Lytechinus pictus: one gene and its partner. The protein of the gene in region 1 interacts with the protein of each later gene in a pairwise test. Links are inferred from orthologs where the notes say so. Each region holds a gene or a part of one and is shown on either strand. Other genes may lie near its edges. The genes, in order: ubiquitin-conjugating enzyme E2 W-like and E3 ubiquitin-protein ligase MARCHF5-like.

Region 1 (8,218 bases):
CTTTCATATGTATATATTTATATGGAAGATCTTCAAATATATGTATTTTTATTTGATGTAATTTGGTAACAGTTAGTGGTGTACTAATTATCCTTTAATCTGTTTTAATTATAATCTATAACATTTATGAACATGGTTTTCACTGCTAAGTATTCTAAATACTTATCTTTAAAAAGTGTGGTACTTGAAATTGAAAAGAATTAAATAGATACATTGTTAATGATGATGAATCTCATAAAACATTAATCTGTGCACACTGGCAGATAATATGCAAATTAACTGGTTTCAATTGGATCCAGTTGGGTAACTGGAAAATTTCCAATTGGAAACCAATTGGAAATAATTTCCAGTTACCCAACTGGTTCCAATTTTATTTCCAGTTACCCAACTGGTTCCATGCAATTAGAATTCATTTCCAGTTACCCATCTTTCCAGTTAGAAGTCATCTCCAGTTACCCAATTGGTACCAGTTAGGATTTCCAGTTACACAACTGCATGGTTCAAGTTGGAAATCATTTCCAGTTGGAAGTCATTTCCAGTTACCCAACTGGTTCCAGTTAGGATTTACAGTTGCCCAACTGGTTCCAGTTGGGATTTCCAGTTAGAAATCATTTCCAGTTGGAAGTCATGTCCAGTTACCCAACTGGTTCCAGTTAGGATTTCCAGTTGCCCAACTGGTTCCAGTTGGGATTTCCAGTTAGAAATCATTTCCAGTTGGAAGTCATTTCCAGTTACCCAACTGGTTCCAGTTAGGATTTCCAGTTGCCCAACTGGTTCCAGTTGGGATTTCCAGTTAGAAATCATTTCCAGTTGGAAGTCATTTCCAGTTACCCAACTGGTTCCAGTTAGGATTTCCAGTTGCCCAACTGGTTCCAGTTGGGATTTCCAGTTAGAAATCATTTCCAGTTGGAAGTCATTTCCAGTTACCCAACTGGTTCCAGTTAGGATTTCCAGTTGCCCAGCTGGTTCCAGTTGCATGGGATTTCCAGTTAGAAATCATTTCCAGTTGGAAGTCATTTCCAGTTACCCAACTGGTTCCAGTTAGGATTTCCAGTTGCCCAACTGGTTCCAGTTGGGATTTCCAGTATAACTCAACTGGTTCCAGTTAGAAATCATTTCCAATTGGAAGTCATTTCCAGTTACCCAACTGGTTCCAGTTAGGATTTCCAGTTGCCCAACTGGTTTCAATTGGTTTCAACTGGAAATTGTTAAATTCCAGTTGAAACCAATTGAAACCAGTTGAAACCAATTGAAACCAGTTGGAAATCCAACTGGTTTCAATTGGATTTTGGTCCTGGGAAGTACGCAACTGACGGTCAGGCACGGTGGCATCCTGACAAGAAAACCGTGTCAGCTGAAAGTTGGATTAGAGGCCGTCACAATATATATATATATTTCTACATGTATACATTTGTCATCTGTTCCAATCAGGGCACCCAAAACTAAATGTTCGGTGAGAGGACAGCCCCCCCCCCTCTCGCACCGAAGTTATTGCACTGTCCTCTGAGGAATTAGAAGGGGGGCGCGGCATGCAGCGCAGGAGAACATGGAGAATGAAAAGTTAAAGGAGAATGAAACCCTTGAAACCAGCTGAATCCATATCAAAGAGAAAAATCAAAGAAACATATTGTTGAAAGTTTGAGGAAGATTGAATGAATAATAAGAAAGTTATGAGCATTCGAATATTGAGATCACTGGTGCCATGTAGATCCTCCCAACGGCAATGCGACCAAGATCTGTGATATCACACACGTACAACTCCCTCATTACTTTAGTACTTATTTCACTTATATTCTCACTTTTATAGAGTCTATCACAAGGTGAGGTGTTCTCTCTATGAGATGACAAGTACAGAGGTTTCACAACATTATATCATTGATGAATCGTTTGTCATATGATTAGAATGAGCAAAAAGAGATGTTTTGGGGTATATTTTCAGTGTCCAAGTGGGAGAGTTGTACGTCACGGTGTGTGACATCACAGATCTTGGTCGCATTGCCAATGGGAGGATCTCCATAGCATTAGTGATCTCGACATTCAAATGCTCATAACTCTTTTATTGCTAGTCCTATTTTTCTCAAAGTTTTGTTGATCTTATTCTTTGATTTTTCTGCTTTCACAAAAGCTAACTTGCTCCAAGAGTTTCATTCTCCTTTAAGAAAATATGCCAATTGAGCCCTGAGAGGGCGCTTTGCAAATTACAATGAGGAAAGGCGAAATATGGCGACACAGGTAAGCTAAATGAGGGTTATTTACATGATTTATAACTGATATCGATGAGCTTTCGTAGATCTATTGGCTTAGCAATGGCCATCAAAGGGTTGGATACCCGTGTAGCTCTTAGAAACAGACCATTATTAATGCGACATGTTGGTCGTATTTCGATAATTTTGTCTCGTTCTCTGGTCGAGACCAAAACTGGCAGCTGTTTGTGCGACTGTCAACACCCAACGGATTGCTCCTTCTGTCTTTGCCCTGAGCTGCCGGGTGTGAGTTTGTGTGCTTCGTTCGTGTGACTGTCTTTCTCCCACCGCAGCGCGGAGCGGGAACTCGCTCAATTTTCGCCAAAGGCCCAACTGCATCACCAATCAAAGACAGTGCAGTATCAGGGCTGCCAACTTTTGAGAAGAGCTTGGAGTGAGACATTGCGAGGAAGCGATCGAGGGCACGGAGCGCCCGAGGGGGGATGGTGTGGTCTGTGGAAGGGGGTGTGCCCCCTTCCACGGTAGGGAGCTTTTAATTACAATTTTGCAATTTAAATGGTGTTGCAATCTGGCACATACTTTTAACTCTGAGTCCATAAAAAGGCATAAATACCGTAAGGGCACTAGTATTCAACCCGTTTGGAGAGTTTCCTCAAAGTCAAATATATAGAAATATAGAATTTATCTTAATTTCAGACCCGTCTTAACTCTTATTTCCGAGAGCAAATGCTGGTTATTCTTTTTCAGTTATTTTTTTCTTCAACCCATCGACTGTGCACGGGCGATCGAATTATACGGCGATGGTTTTTGCCACTACTAGTATTCAATCCGTCGGCACTAGTATTCAACCTAGCGCGGAAAGATGACCCTGTCTCTCAATCTGCCCTTGTCCCATCTGACTATGGACTAGACCATTTGAGATGAGACCAAACGGAATTAATCAAAGCCAGAGACTTACATAGATCTAGATCTAATTTAGCAATCTAAACCATTTTGAGATTCGCTATCTATCATCACTAGGTTGAATACTAGTGCAATTCAATGCAAAAGGTCATCGCCACATGATTCGATCCTCCGCGCATATAGTCGACAGATTGATAAAGAAAATACCGACAACAGATTACCCTGGAAATAACAAAGGTATGAAAATAAGATAAATTCCCTATTTCTAAATATTTGGGGGAATTTGTCCAAATCTTTGAATTATGCTGGGTTGAATACTAGTGCCCATACGGTATATACTTAAGTTAAGGCAGGATTCAAATAGGTTAATTGGCTTTTTTAATGAAGTTCACTGACCTTGAAAAAAATTCCACATTTTTAAGTTTCATTATTCCAAATCAACTGTCTATAAGCTTAGCAGTGAAACCTCAACCTGTGATTATCTGCTGCTCCCTTAAGCAATTTTTTATCGGATAATGTACACACTTGCACGTTGCACTTCACCAGTACGACAATACACCAGACGGTGGACTACTGTTTCCAGAAGAAGAAGAAAGAATGAAGGAAAGAAATAAAGAATTAAGGAAGCAAGCAAGCAATATAAAAAAAAGAATCGGTAAAAGAATAGATGAAAGAAAAAAAAAAAGAAAGACCAAAAGACAAAAAAAGGAAGGAATGAAGGAAAGAAAGAAAAGGTAAAAGGATAGACGGAACGAAGGGGAAAAACAAAGAAAGAACAAAAGACAGAAAGGAAGGAATGAATGAAAGAAAGAGAGAAAAGGCTGAAAGAAGTAAGAAATAAAAAACAAGAAAGGGTAAAGAAAGGATGGATGAAAGGAAGAAACAAAGAATGAAGCAAAGAAAGGGTAAAAAGAAGAAAGAAAGAAGAGATAAATATAGGATGGATGGATTCAAGAATTACAGAAAGAAAGAAATCAAAAAAGAAAGAAAAAGAAATAGAGAAAAATATTTGTTCAAAGGACAGAAAGAACGAAAGACAAAAAAAGGGAAAATTAAAAAAGAAAGACAGTAACAAAGAAATGAAAGAAGAAAGGGAAGAAACAAAGTATGATTGAAAAGAAAGAAAAAAAACAGAGGAAGAAAGCTAAAACTATCATCATAAAATAATAAATTATCAGTTTCTTTTTGGCTCAATTAAAATAAAGCTACAAAAGAAACCAAGTGTATCGCCATGACATGGCATTGCATTGACACTCAATCGCTCGTTGTGCCTCGCACGAAACCCCGCTTCATAGTAAATTTCGACGTCACCAGCTCTCACACGCGGGATACAGTAAGCCAATCGCATTTGCATTGATGGTTTAGCTTTGCGCTTGTGTGGTTAAAAACTTTGAAACTTATGCCTGGCCGGGTTATAATGTTATTGAATATCCGATATTGGCTAATAAACTTTTTTTCTCTCTATTTTCGGGGTTCAGCTTGAGAATTCCTATGATCAGCGTGAGAATCGGGTGAATTGTGTGAGACTCACGCAGATTGCGTGAGAGTTGGCAGCCCTGCAGTATGATGGGGGGGGGGGCCTAAACTAAGATATATGCACTTTGTTTACAAATGATGAAAACTATGTCTATACTATGCCAATTTTAATATTTGAACAAATTATTTTTCACTAATTTGGGGTAAATATTCCAAATCCGACCAAAGCATGAATGAAAGATCCTTACCCACATGACCCAAGATTAGAACAAGATTGAAGAAGATCTAATGTTAGATCTAGACTAGGCCTAGACAAAGAAAATATCACAAAATATGAAAATCCTGATGTGTTTTCCAAACACCTCTTGATTTCACCGCCTGATGTAGAAGGAAAAGAAATGGTATTTCCAGTGTCATATACATGTAGGTTCATGTTATTTTAGGAAAGTGAAAATAACTTCAAACTCCAAAGTCAAAGACAGTAACTTACTAAGGCGCTGGTCAGAAAATTGGGATTGTCCCAGCTTACAGGGACTGTCTCAGTAATAAAGGACAAGTCCACCCCTACAAAATGTTGATTTGAATAAAAAGAGAAAAATCCAACAAGCACAACACTGAAAATTTCATCAAAATCGAATGTAAAATAAGAAAGTTAAGACATTTTTTATTTTCGTTTAATTTCACAAAACAGTTATATGCACATCCTAGTTGGTATGCAAATGAGGGGACTGATGACATGACTCACTATTTCTTTTGGATTTCATTGTATGAAATATTCAAATGTTATTGTCCTGTGAAACAAAGTTTTATTTCACTCTGAAGTCTGAACATGGTGGAATTACCATTGTTTAACATTTTATGGATCAGTCAAGTTGGTCCTTATTGTCAGATCTGCAAAAATTGAAATATTGTTTAATTAAAATAATAAAAAAACAAAAGAAAAAGTGAGTGAGGAACATCATCAATTCTCTCATTTGCATGTGACTAAATTATGCATACAATTATTTTGTGAAAAATAAGCGAAACTTTACTTTAAAATGTCATAACTTTCTTATTTTACATCCGATTTTGATGAAATCTCCAGCATTATGCTTGTCTGATTTTTCTCTACAAGAAATCTATGAAAGTTCATTCACCTGTCAAGTGCCGACATCAATTGAGCTGAGTGAATGTGAATGCTAGTCACTAGAGAGTTTTAGGAGCAGTGAACGTGAACGACGTAGCAGTCATCTGATCGTTCGAGTCAACATCGTCGTCTGCCCTTGTTCACTACAGATGCGAATACTTTAGATTTCACTCGACTTGTACGTGTACGTACGTCCACATGAAACAGCGCGATAACCAGCGGGTCATGACACGCTGCCCGACCCGGAAGATCTTGGGCACCATCGCCTGGCGACCCGGTCGGGTGATGCGAATGTGCAACGTGTGCACATGTGCCCTTTCACTTGCTTTGATTCCTTTTTACGCGAGTTAGGATATATATCGATGTATATTTTGGAGATCAGATTGCAATTTCAAATATGATAAACATAATGCATCGTACAACTTACATTAATTTTGTGAAAAGTCACTGAAAACTGTGTTTTAAAAGGGAAAGGTTGATCTTCATGCTGGGCTTGAATGGTTAAAATGACGTCACTCACGTGCACGTCGTCTATGATTTAGGAGAACCGCAAAATGGATGTGGCGAGGTTCTCGATTTTGATAGTGGATGTGTGTGAGGACCTAAGGCATATGGCAGGCCAAAAAATGACGTCATCTCGTACCAGTCCTCTATGTCGACGTACCTTTCTAAAAGTGCTCAATGTGAACATATCAGGTTTCATAAGATTATTGGAAGACAGCAAGTCGTGAAAAAATAGATGGTGAACTGTTGGGAATTGAGGTCACTGAATCCATTTTTAGCACTCTCAATCCCCGTAATTGCATTCTATGTCCCGCAGGGGTAAGTGAAAAAAAACTCCCCATTGGCATATAAACATGGACAATCTCAATTTTTCAAGACATGAATTGTTCTGGTTTATGAGGATCTCAATTTTTGGATCAGCGCCTCTACTGAAAGAGTTGCTAGTTTTCTATGCATTTAGTGATTTATTGCAGCCTCTGTAAAAGCAAATTGAATAGGAATCTTTCGTCACTCTGCAGTCACAGTTCCACACACAGAGTGCGCATTTTGCCATTGAAATTGCATGCGTGGTAAGTGGTGCGTAGCTTCAGGACCCCTTACCATACAAGGCCAAGAACGGACACTTTGGCGATTTTTTTTAAACACTCCATTCGCTCGTGGGATGGGCGCGCAGGCCCAACAGCATTGAGCAAGTAAACCTTCGCACATTGGCATGCAATGTATTGAAAATGATAGGGGTGTTTGGCCTTTGGGAGAGGGCACAAGTGCGGCGCGTGTGGATAAGTCCACCTCTAAGATATTCATCTCTAATTTTAGATTTAAAGAAATTGAAGAGAAAAAAAATTAATATAAAAATCGTCTATTCTCTCCCCCCTCTACCATTTCTCTCATATGTTTTCAGGGTTCCCAGCCAATCAGGGAAATCAGGGAAGATTATTTAACTTTTTCCAGTCAGGGAAAAAATCAGGGAATTCGATAAAAAATACCTCAAATCAGGGGACAATGCCTGAAATCAAGGAAAAATCTGAATTTTTATCAGCCCAAAAGTCGAAAGCACGGTAGTCAGTCAGACTTTGTTATATTTTGTTGCATATCAAAACAACATCAATTGAATGACTGGTTATGGTATACTAATTAGTTTTACATGATTGTTTTTATACTAAAAATACGTGTCATTCACTGCAACAAGTTGCGAAACTGGGATTGGGTTTAAATAATTATCAGGGAATTTTAAGACTTCGTTGGGGAAAAATCAGGGTATTTTTTTTTGAAAAGCTGGAACCCTGTGTTTTTTACACAACCCAAAATGGCTATTTATTCAGCGCTGTTGGGCAATCTTCCCGAGCATTTTAATACAGACTGTCCAGTCTTACCCTTGCAGTGTCTTTGCTCCAATTAAGATTTTGAGAGTGGAGTCTCAACGGGCAACACAATAATGGGCCAAATTATGTATTTGGGAACCTGTAACACAGTGAATGGCAGGAATGGAGGTGAAAGTATTGCTTTATATTTATAAGCTGTAGACCTTATGACTTTGAGTTTGAAGTGAATTTTGGCTTTCAAGATCAAGGTTCCCAATTAAATGGCCATTAAAGATTTTAAGCTCTTCACATAAAGTATCAAATTTGCGAAACTGTAAAGTATAGGCTAGGCCCCAACACTACCAGGGCCAGGCAAGGCCTAAAGCCCAAAGGTGGTGAAGTGCCCAAATATTGGATTGGCCAAAAGAAAAATACAATCATTTTCTTCTTTTTTTTTCTTTTCAGGGAAAGCCAAAAAAAGAAGTGGTCACGGTAAAAAAAGTTGTGTGTTTTCATCAGTTTTCATAGTTTTTATCATGACCATCAATTTCTCTGTGTTTATATACAATTTCAGATAAATGTACAATTCATCAAGCTTGAAAACATTTCAAAACTGTATTTGTGATTCACCCATTTGTTTATCATTTTGAATCACTGTAACCTAGGTTCATATATGTTATGGGGGAAAAAGTAGGCAAATTTTT
Region 2 (8,218 bases), on another chromosome or scaffold:
GCACGCATATCATGCCCGTTCCATAGGGATGCATACGCACTCACGTACACGCTGGCGATCCGTTCCAAGGATCCCCCTTTTGACAAACATTTGTAGTTCCGAAGCCTGTTCCGAGGACCCTCCTTTTTACAACAAGCCCGCTCCAAGGCCCCCGTTTTTTGTCTCGCCCGCGGCACACCCCTACCTCTTTTTTGGTCGAGTGCCCCCCCCCCCCCCGGGGCATAGGCGGATCCAGGGGGCCGGGGTCGAGGCCCCCCCCCCCCCCATATTGGCGTAGCAAAAATAAGAGGAAAAAAGGCAAAAGAGAGGAGAAAAAAAGTAGAGGAAAAAAAAAGGAGGAAGACGAGTGAATGAAATAAGGAGAAGACTTGGGGGAAAAAATGTATGTCACTATATCAAATTTTCGCTCGCGCTTCGCGCTCGCATTGCATGATCGATGAAATACATATCTTGCTCAATATTGAGCTGAAAATATCAAGTTTTGAAGTCAATATACAAAACATAAATCAGTTTGGACGTCGATCATTCATTATTTCGGTTGATTTACAAATTGTTTTTCAAAATTAGTGCTCTGCAAAATGTCTGTTTTATTGTCTGGGCATCAACATTTTCAGCTCGCGCTGCGCGCTCGCATTAGTTGATTTGTCAAGTACCTATATTCTCTTCGTGTATTCCATAAAGTTCTCAAAATATCCTTTTTCAGGTTTGATTGTCAAAACCTATGCAGCTAGCGCTGCGCGTTCGCATTTTCATTGGTGAGTATAATGTATACCCCTGTAGTAATTCTATAACAAACTATACTTAAAATCCATGTTTCATGACAGTAAATTTTTATCAACGATTTCATGATAAAAATGCGTTAAGAATGCCCAGAATCTTAAACACGCGCGTGCATGCTTTAAGGGATGGTCCAGGCTGGAAGCCTCAATAAAATAGAGTAAAATTCACAAAGTAATATAATAAAATACAAAAGAAATAGTGAGTGGATGACGTCATCAGTCTCCTCATTTGCATACCGACCAGGATGTGCGGCGTATAACTGTTTTGTGAAAACAGCAAAACTTTAAAATGTCATAACTTTCTTATTTTACATCCGATTTTGATGAAATTTTCAGTGTTATGCTTAATGTGTTTTTTTCTCTTATTATTCAAATCAACTTTTTGATAGGGTGAACTTGTCCTTTAAACCTAGCATATGGAGCACTTTATGAACTTGCAAATAAAAGTACATCTTCTACATCGTTAAATTACTGAATGGGATACTCAACATATATAGGCTGCAAAAAAATACAACCCAATCATCACTGCCCTGCATTTTGTAATGGATCCCCCCCTTTTTTTTTTGCTTGTCAAATTTCACCACCCCTGTAAAAAAAAATCCTTCCCAGGACCCTGCAGCCAAATGTGATTGAAGTATCAATATTTGGAGAACAAGATCAACCAAATGTAGGCCTATTCTCAACTTTCAAAGCATGAATAACTGTTTTGTGAAATTAAGCAAAACTTGAAAATGTCGTAACTTTCTTATTTTACATCCGTTTTTGCTGAAATGTTTAGTGTTATGCTTGGTTGGATTTTTCTCTTATTATTTAAATCAACTTTTTGTAGGGGTGGACTTGTCCTCTATTAATCAATTAATTTACATTTTAACACCTCCTCCCCTTATAGGCCTATTTCAGAAAAACTACAACTTATAATAGGCTTATTTAAATTCCGACTAGATTTAGAGGCGTCGCACAGTGGGCCAGAATGAGTTGAAAGTGCGCCAAAATTATATTCCGTGTTATATTTTTACTTTAACATGTTGATTGAGGGTAATTTTGGGCGTAGAATCGACTGAACATAATTTAAAGCCGATATGACGTCACTTTGATACCAAATTTTGATTGGCTACTTAAAATCTATCTGCGAAAAGACAAATTACGCTAAACAATGTGCAGTATATAATCTTTGTGTTATGTGTTACTTTAAGATTGACCAGAGTGAGCGGTGGTTTATGCTTCTCATATGCCTAAAAAGTGCGTAAGAGATTCTGAAAATAATTTGATGGCATCAAAATGATCATTAGATAAAAAAATACTTAAAAATCTGAAAAATATTAACCGTGCTTTATCAAGCGGCGTAGACTTGGGTAAAACGCAGAGTATATAACACCACGAATGAATAACTATGAGGAGGGTTTTGGGCTGAAATTATTCTACAAGTAACTTTTATCTCTGGAAGAGGGGCGGGTAGCCCTAATTTGCGTTATCAACCTTTATTTTGTTTGCATTAAGCCTGGAATTCATGTCATTTTCAAGGAATGGAAGGGGAATCGTCCTCGCCGTGCAAAAATGAAAGGAAATGTATACACCCCACACGGTGCGCAGCGATGACTGCGCGGTATGAAAATGACCGTTTTTGAACAGGTTTTGGGGGTGTTGTGTCAAGTAAAATCGGCTGTAACATGAAAACGGGCAAAAACGGGCAGCTAAATTTGGTATCATCTTAAAGCTTAGACATCTAGCAAAATGATGATGATAGAATTTAAACGGAAATCCACGGAAATCTAAACTTTTCTAATGTAAATAAAAAAAACATGGATTATCAGCCTTTTACAAGGAATAATTATCCTATAAACCTTCTGAAATGTGTCATTTATCTAATTTAAACCCTTTCACACGAAAAAAGAATATATCAGGATTATGTGGGTGCCATTTCAGATTCCTACATGAAAAACCTCCTGTGAAATGGCTTGTTTTTCAACTAAGTAGTCATATACGCGGCATTTCGCAAAATGTCACATTTTAAGATTTGAGGTAGGAAATTAACAACCTTTATGCAAATTCCCGAATGAAATATTTTGCTGAAGTTAAAGCTTATTGCGGCATACAATATTGTTCTACCAAGAATGTATTTCTATTTATTTTCTAGTTATTTTCTAATCTACTTGGATTTGCTCTTCTCAGATTCAATGCTTATAACGCAATTAAAAACAGTTTTCAGTTCAGGAGCATATTCCAGTGTGACACTTGATCAATTTGATGTTTTATTATGAGTTAGAGAGATTTATAGATTTTTTACTACGTTTCCGCTCCGTGCTGACCGGTCAGTGATTGCATCTTTGAAAGGGCAGGGCAAGCGTATTTGGTGAAGATTTGTTTATATGCCATTTTGACAAGAGTTACGACAAACTTTTGTATATACTATAATTATCTTTTTCATATTAGAAAGATGCACAATAAAAATATTTCATATATGTATACATCATATTGGTAATAATATCATTATGTGAGAAGTGAGATTTTATAGATAGAGTCAATGGCGACAATAGTCAAATATGACTAATCGCCACCCAAACCAACATAAGAAGAAGACAAAAGCTCGCTACTTTCACCTCATAGGTACTAGGTCGCGCGTTATTGGTCGCCAGAGCTCGAGCAGTGTATAAAGGTACACTCCACAACTACAAGTGCAGGAGCACCGCCGCCGACCTCCACCTTGCCTTCCGATTATTAATATTCTAAATGGTTGATTGTAGCCCTGCCCTGTAACACGAAAAGTTGTAAGTTCTCTATAAACATTTTCGAGTCGTTGTCTCGTTGTGGTGTGCGTCATTTTTGTTAGGCTTTAAAGCCAAGCCCAAGCCAAGGCAATTATTAGCAATCGAATTAGACGGCATTGAGTGTAGGCACATTTCCTTAATCGGCGCGTGCGATTCTCATGCACACATGTCGCATTAGGCGGATCACAATTTCGTGATTCGGTTTAGATCTAACGTTAGATACTGCACGGAGCGAAATCGCCGGTCATCTCTTTCAGTTTCTCTCTTATTTATAAATGTTCTACTTATTTAGCGATTGTGCAAGGGTCCACACCAACTGACCAAATTTTTACCCCATTAAAAAAAAAATTGTGGCAGTTTTAAAGTGAGTTTTCATTTAATTTATTGCATGGTTTGTTGAAATTGTTGTGTGACGAAATAGATTTTCTAACTTAGTAGGCCCTAATTAGAACGGCCTTTTCCTGAAATAAGTCACCTCTCTTCTTGTGTGTGTCAGTGTGTGTGCGCTCGTTGTGTACAAAGTCAATGGGAGATGAAAGAAGTCACTGCCATTGACGAAATGAACGGCAATGAATGGAGTGGTGACTTAAACCAGGATAATGCCTTGGCTTTAACTAGTTAGAAATAAGTTGGTCTTGGATGGTCCGGTGTCAGTAACCATTCTGGACTCTGGAGATGCATTGACATTCATGACATTGTCAATGATTGAGACAAGTCTAAAAATAATTTGCTAACTTGTTCAGTAGAGGCGCACGGCCAATATGGGAGACTCTCCAATATGGGAGACAATCTCCCATATTAGAGACTTGCTTTGCAAAAGAACAAAAGAAACACCAACAAAAGCATAATTTTTTCCACCCAAAATTTTGTCTCGCTGAGGTCAGAAACCCATTTGTTTTGTGTGTGGATGACAACAAAAATCCTTATCAAAACAAAAGTAGACGGTGAATTTTTAAAATAGACGGTGAAAAGGGGTAATTTTTCATGAGGAATCTGCTTATCACATTTTTATTTGCCGCCAAGGTAATCCTTTTGCAGCAAATGTGAACAAAGGAAATTGGTCTCCTAAACTGGAGACTGTCTCTGAAATTGGATACCCAAATTCTTCACAAAAGTCTCTGATATTGGAGATAATCTCTCTCATGGGAGACAGTCTCCCATATTGGCTGTGCGCCTGTACTGCTTGTTGTGGTTCAAAGAGTACTCGTGCAAAATAAAGAAAGGGATGCCAAACAATTTTAAAGATAAGAATGCCACATCATTTAGTAGATGTAGATCTACATCTACAATGCAAGCAAAAGGAAGTAGGAGGGAAGAATAAATGAAGAACAAAACGAGGAGGAGGAGGAGGAGAAGAAGGGTGAAGAAGAAGAAGGGAGAAGAGGAAGAAGGGTGAAAAAGAAAAAGGGAGAAGAAGAAAAAAAGGACATGAAGGAAAACAAGGAAGAAGAGAAAGAAGAAGAGGAAGAGAGAAGAAGGGGGGTGTCTTTCTATGGTGCTTTTGAGGAAGATCAATAATACCCTTTTTACACAGGATTTTCTTAACCCCGGACTATCGCTAACCCCGTACTATCCTTAACCCCGTACTATTTTTTTTTCCTTTTCACACATGCCAAATTGTTATCGCTAACCCCGGATAAGGAATGCTTGCTTTTCACACACGAAACTCGCTAACCCCGGACTAGTGGTTTTTGTCGATCATTCGTAGTACAAGTACTTCACTCGTACCTTTTTACACACGCTAAAATTTCCTTAACCCCGTAATATAGGTGGGGCTAAATTGCCATTTAGCCCCACCTATAGTACGGGGTTAAGCTTAGCCCACTTTCGTTTTACACTAGCGATCTTAACCCCGTACTATCGCTCTTAGCACCGCAATTGCTGGGATAACCCTGCTTTTTTGCAGGGCCAAATAATCCCGTACTAAAGGTGGGGTTAGCCCACTTTGCAAAAATGCTGTGTAAAAAGAAAGTGGGCTAAGCTTAACCCCGTACTATAGGTGGGGCTAAATGGCAATTTAGCCCCACCTATAGTACGGGGTTAAGGAAATTTTAGCGTGTGTAAAAAGGGTATAAGAACACTCAATGAGTTAATGCAACTGTTGTAACTTTGCCATTATGGCAACTACCATGGAAACCTTGATTCTGATTGGCTGCTGATCCCTGTTACAACAATTGCAAGTCTTTTATGAAACGGGTCCCAGAAGCACACTCAATGAGTTAATGCAATGAGCCAGATACTTTGTCAGTGCATAAAATATCCTTATATTTGGCACACTTGAACCCCCCCCCCCTCACTCAACTTACAAGTTACCATAAAAATAGCACTTGGTCACCTATTTTCAATTTTTTTTAAAAACAAAAGTATTATTCAGACCAGGTGATTCAGGCTATTGGACAATTTCTTTAAACTAATTTCTCTTTAACCATTCAATTGAAACACAGAATGAATACTTATAAATTGGGCAGGGGGCATGTCTGTGCACCTAACTATTTAATTTAAGATTTAACATGAATTTCTTTTTATTTCATAAAAAAATTCAGTTGATAATGTTTTTTATATTTTCATGAGTAAGTGTGCCAAAAAGCTATTAAAAATTGGAAAGAAATGTATGATTTTCTTGGAAAAAAACCTTGGCCAGTCATTTTCAGATTGAACCAAAAAATGTTGGTTGCCTCCGACGAAGATTCTGCTAGGATCGAAAGCTTAGGCCCCTTTTTGACTTTCCAAAAAATGTTTCACGCACCCATTCACTTTACACACGATTCAGGCATTTTGATGATAAAGGCTGCATTTTGAGGCTGTCACATGAAATGCCTGAAATTCAAAATTTCTCCACCACTTTGTGTCAGATTTTTGGTCTTGCAGGTGTAAAGTTTGTGGTTGTTGTGTATCTTCTTTTATTAGAATCACGCAGATATGTGCACAGACAATGGGGACTGCAAAGACTTGGGGCACCTTACCATATATGTAGTATGTACTTATAATATATAGCCAAGTTATTAATTAAACTATTAACAGTATTACAATTGCATACATGCGCTATATACACAATTTTTCAGATGGTCTAAAACTTTTGAAAATGATGATATGCAAATCCCATCAAAGACTTGATTGTACATAGACACCAAGGACCTTCATTGGCTGGACATTCTTATGAACCGAATCATTCATAAAAGAAAAAAAAAGAAGATGTGTAGAAGGGTAGATACAGAGATAGATATAAAATGGCTTATTGAAATCTCCGCCAAAAGCTGAATAGTGATCAATTTTACAAACATGCAAGTTACATATAAAGTTTTCATACAAAGTATGGTAACAGTTTCTAAATGATACACAAACCTATTGTAGAAATTGTAATTGTATGATCTTAGAAAATATAGTGTCGGTGGAGAAAAAGAAGAATGTAGTATTAGGTGAGTGAAAATAAAGTCATGAAGGTGTAAGGAAGTAAATGGAGAGGATAGAAAAAGGAGAAGAGAAAAGGAGGAAAAAATAGGAAGAAGAAAAGGAAGAGAAAAGAAGAGATCATGATCATCAAATCTTGACATGCACACACTATATCCTCTCACTTAGAGCTGGTAGCAGGTAAAATTCAATGAGATTTAAAAACAAAAACATTAAATATTTACATAGTAAAATATGCAATGATGTAATTGGTCTGTGGAGCCGTCAACATACAAAGTAAAACAAAATAAGATTGATTACCTGTTAAAAGATCAACAAATATGGAAGAGAGCTACATTGGAAATGTTTAGTTTTGCATTATATTGTTGATATTTCCATTGTGATCGTAAAACATAATTACATTGCTGTCTGAGAGGTAAACTATTTGTAAATTGTGGATGCTTGGCAAGAGAACTGGCAAAGTCAATACATTTCTGTTTTCGTCTTGCCTCTAAAGGCGACCGCACACCTTACGATTGGTCTGCGACTCAATTTTGGAATAAAACGTAGTAGAATTTGATGCTAATATTGAGACTTGGAATATCTTACTGTGTTATGTTCCAAATCATTGTACAAATACCTATGTTCAAATCTGTGACTATGCTATCATTCTTCGTAGAATAAAATCAAATTTAATATCTAGTCATAATGACGTCATAGCAGTCGTAAGATTGGCTACGATTTGAAACTAATTTGGCCTTTACTCGAAAATAAAGGCTTGCGATCTTTCAAAATGGTTATATTAGTATTCTTTCAATTAATTTTAACCTCAAATAAAATGATATGTTCCATTCACATTTTCAGAAAATGAGCAAAATGCGATTTGTTCCAAAATCGGATCGCGAACAGTCGTAAGGTGTGCGGTGGCCTTAACAAAGAAATATTGCATGTTTCTAATGCTGTAGCATAGCCTGCATAGGCCTACATGTAGTCTTTGTACTGGCATCCAAGCATAATCTTACAAGCACGTTTCTGAATATTTTCTAAGGCAAGCACATTGCTTTTTTTTATAGGATACCATTGTAAACCGGTACTCCGTAATCGAAAATTAGGCAAATGTATCCTTCATAATACATGTATATTAAAATAAGGTCATAAAAGAGGTGTCTATACTTTTTATTAAAGGCGACGAAGCATGTACAATTTTCTTTTACATCTTTTTATGAGATCTGATACCTGACTATCCTACTTCAGGTTAGATTGTAAAGTACACCTAGTATTTTTGAT

Evidence for each region.
Region 2: the proteins of ubiquitin-conjugating enzyme E2 W-like (region 1) and E3 ubiquitin-protein ligase MARCHF5-like interact in binary tests that used the Homo sapiens proteins (3 or more experiments, as listed by UniProt). The link is inferred for Lytechinus pictus from reciprocal best matches to the Homo sapiens genes UBE2W and MARCHF5.

What each region holds. Positions count from the first base shown.
Region 1 is NC_087261.1:15,045,671-15,053,888, forward strand, and holds the start of ubiquitin-conjugating enzyme E2 W-like, read left to right. Parts: upstream 1-2,199; 5' UTR 2,200-2,220; coding exon 2,221-2,232; intron 2,233-7,979; coding exon 7,980-8,006; intron 8,007-8,218. UniProt on the Homo sapiens protein: Accepts ubiquitin from the E1 complex and catalyzes its covalent attachment to other proteins.
Region 2 is NC_087256.1:23,778,959-23,787,176, forward strand, and holds the start of E3 ubiquitin-protein ligase MARCHF5-like, read left to right. Parts: upstream 1-3,329; 5' UTR 3,330-3,544; intron 3,545-8,218. UniProt on the Homo sapiens protein: Mitochondrial E3 ubiquitin-protein ligase that plays a crucial role in the control of mitochondrial morphology by acting as a positive regulator of mitochondrial fission and as an important regulator of immune response.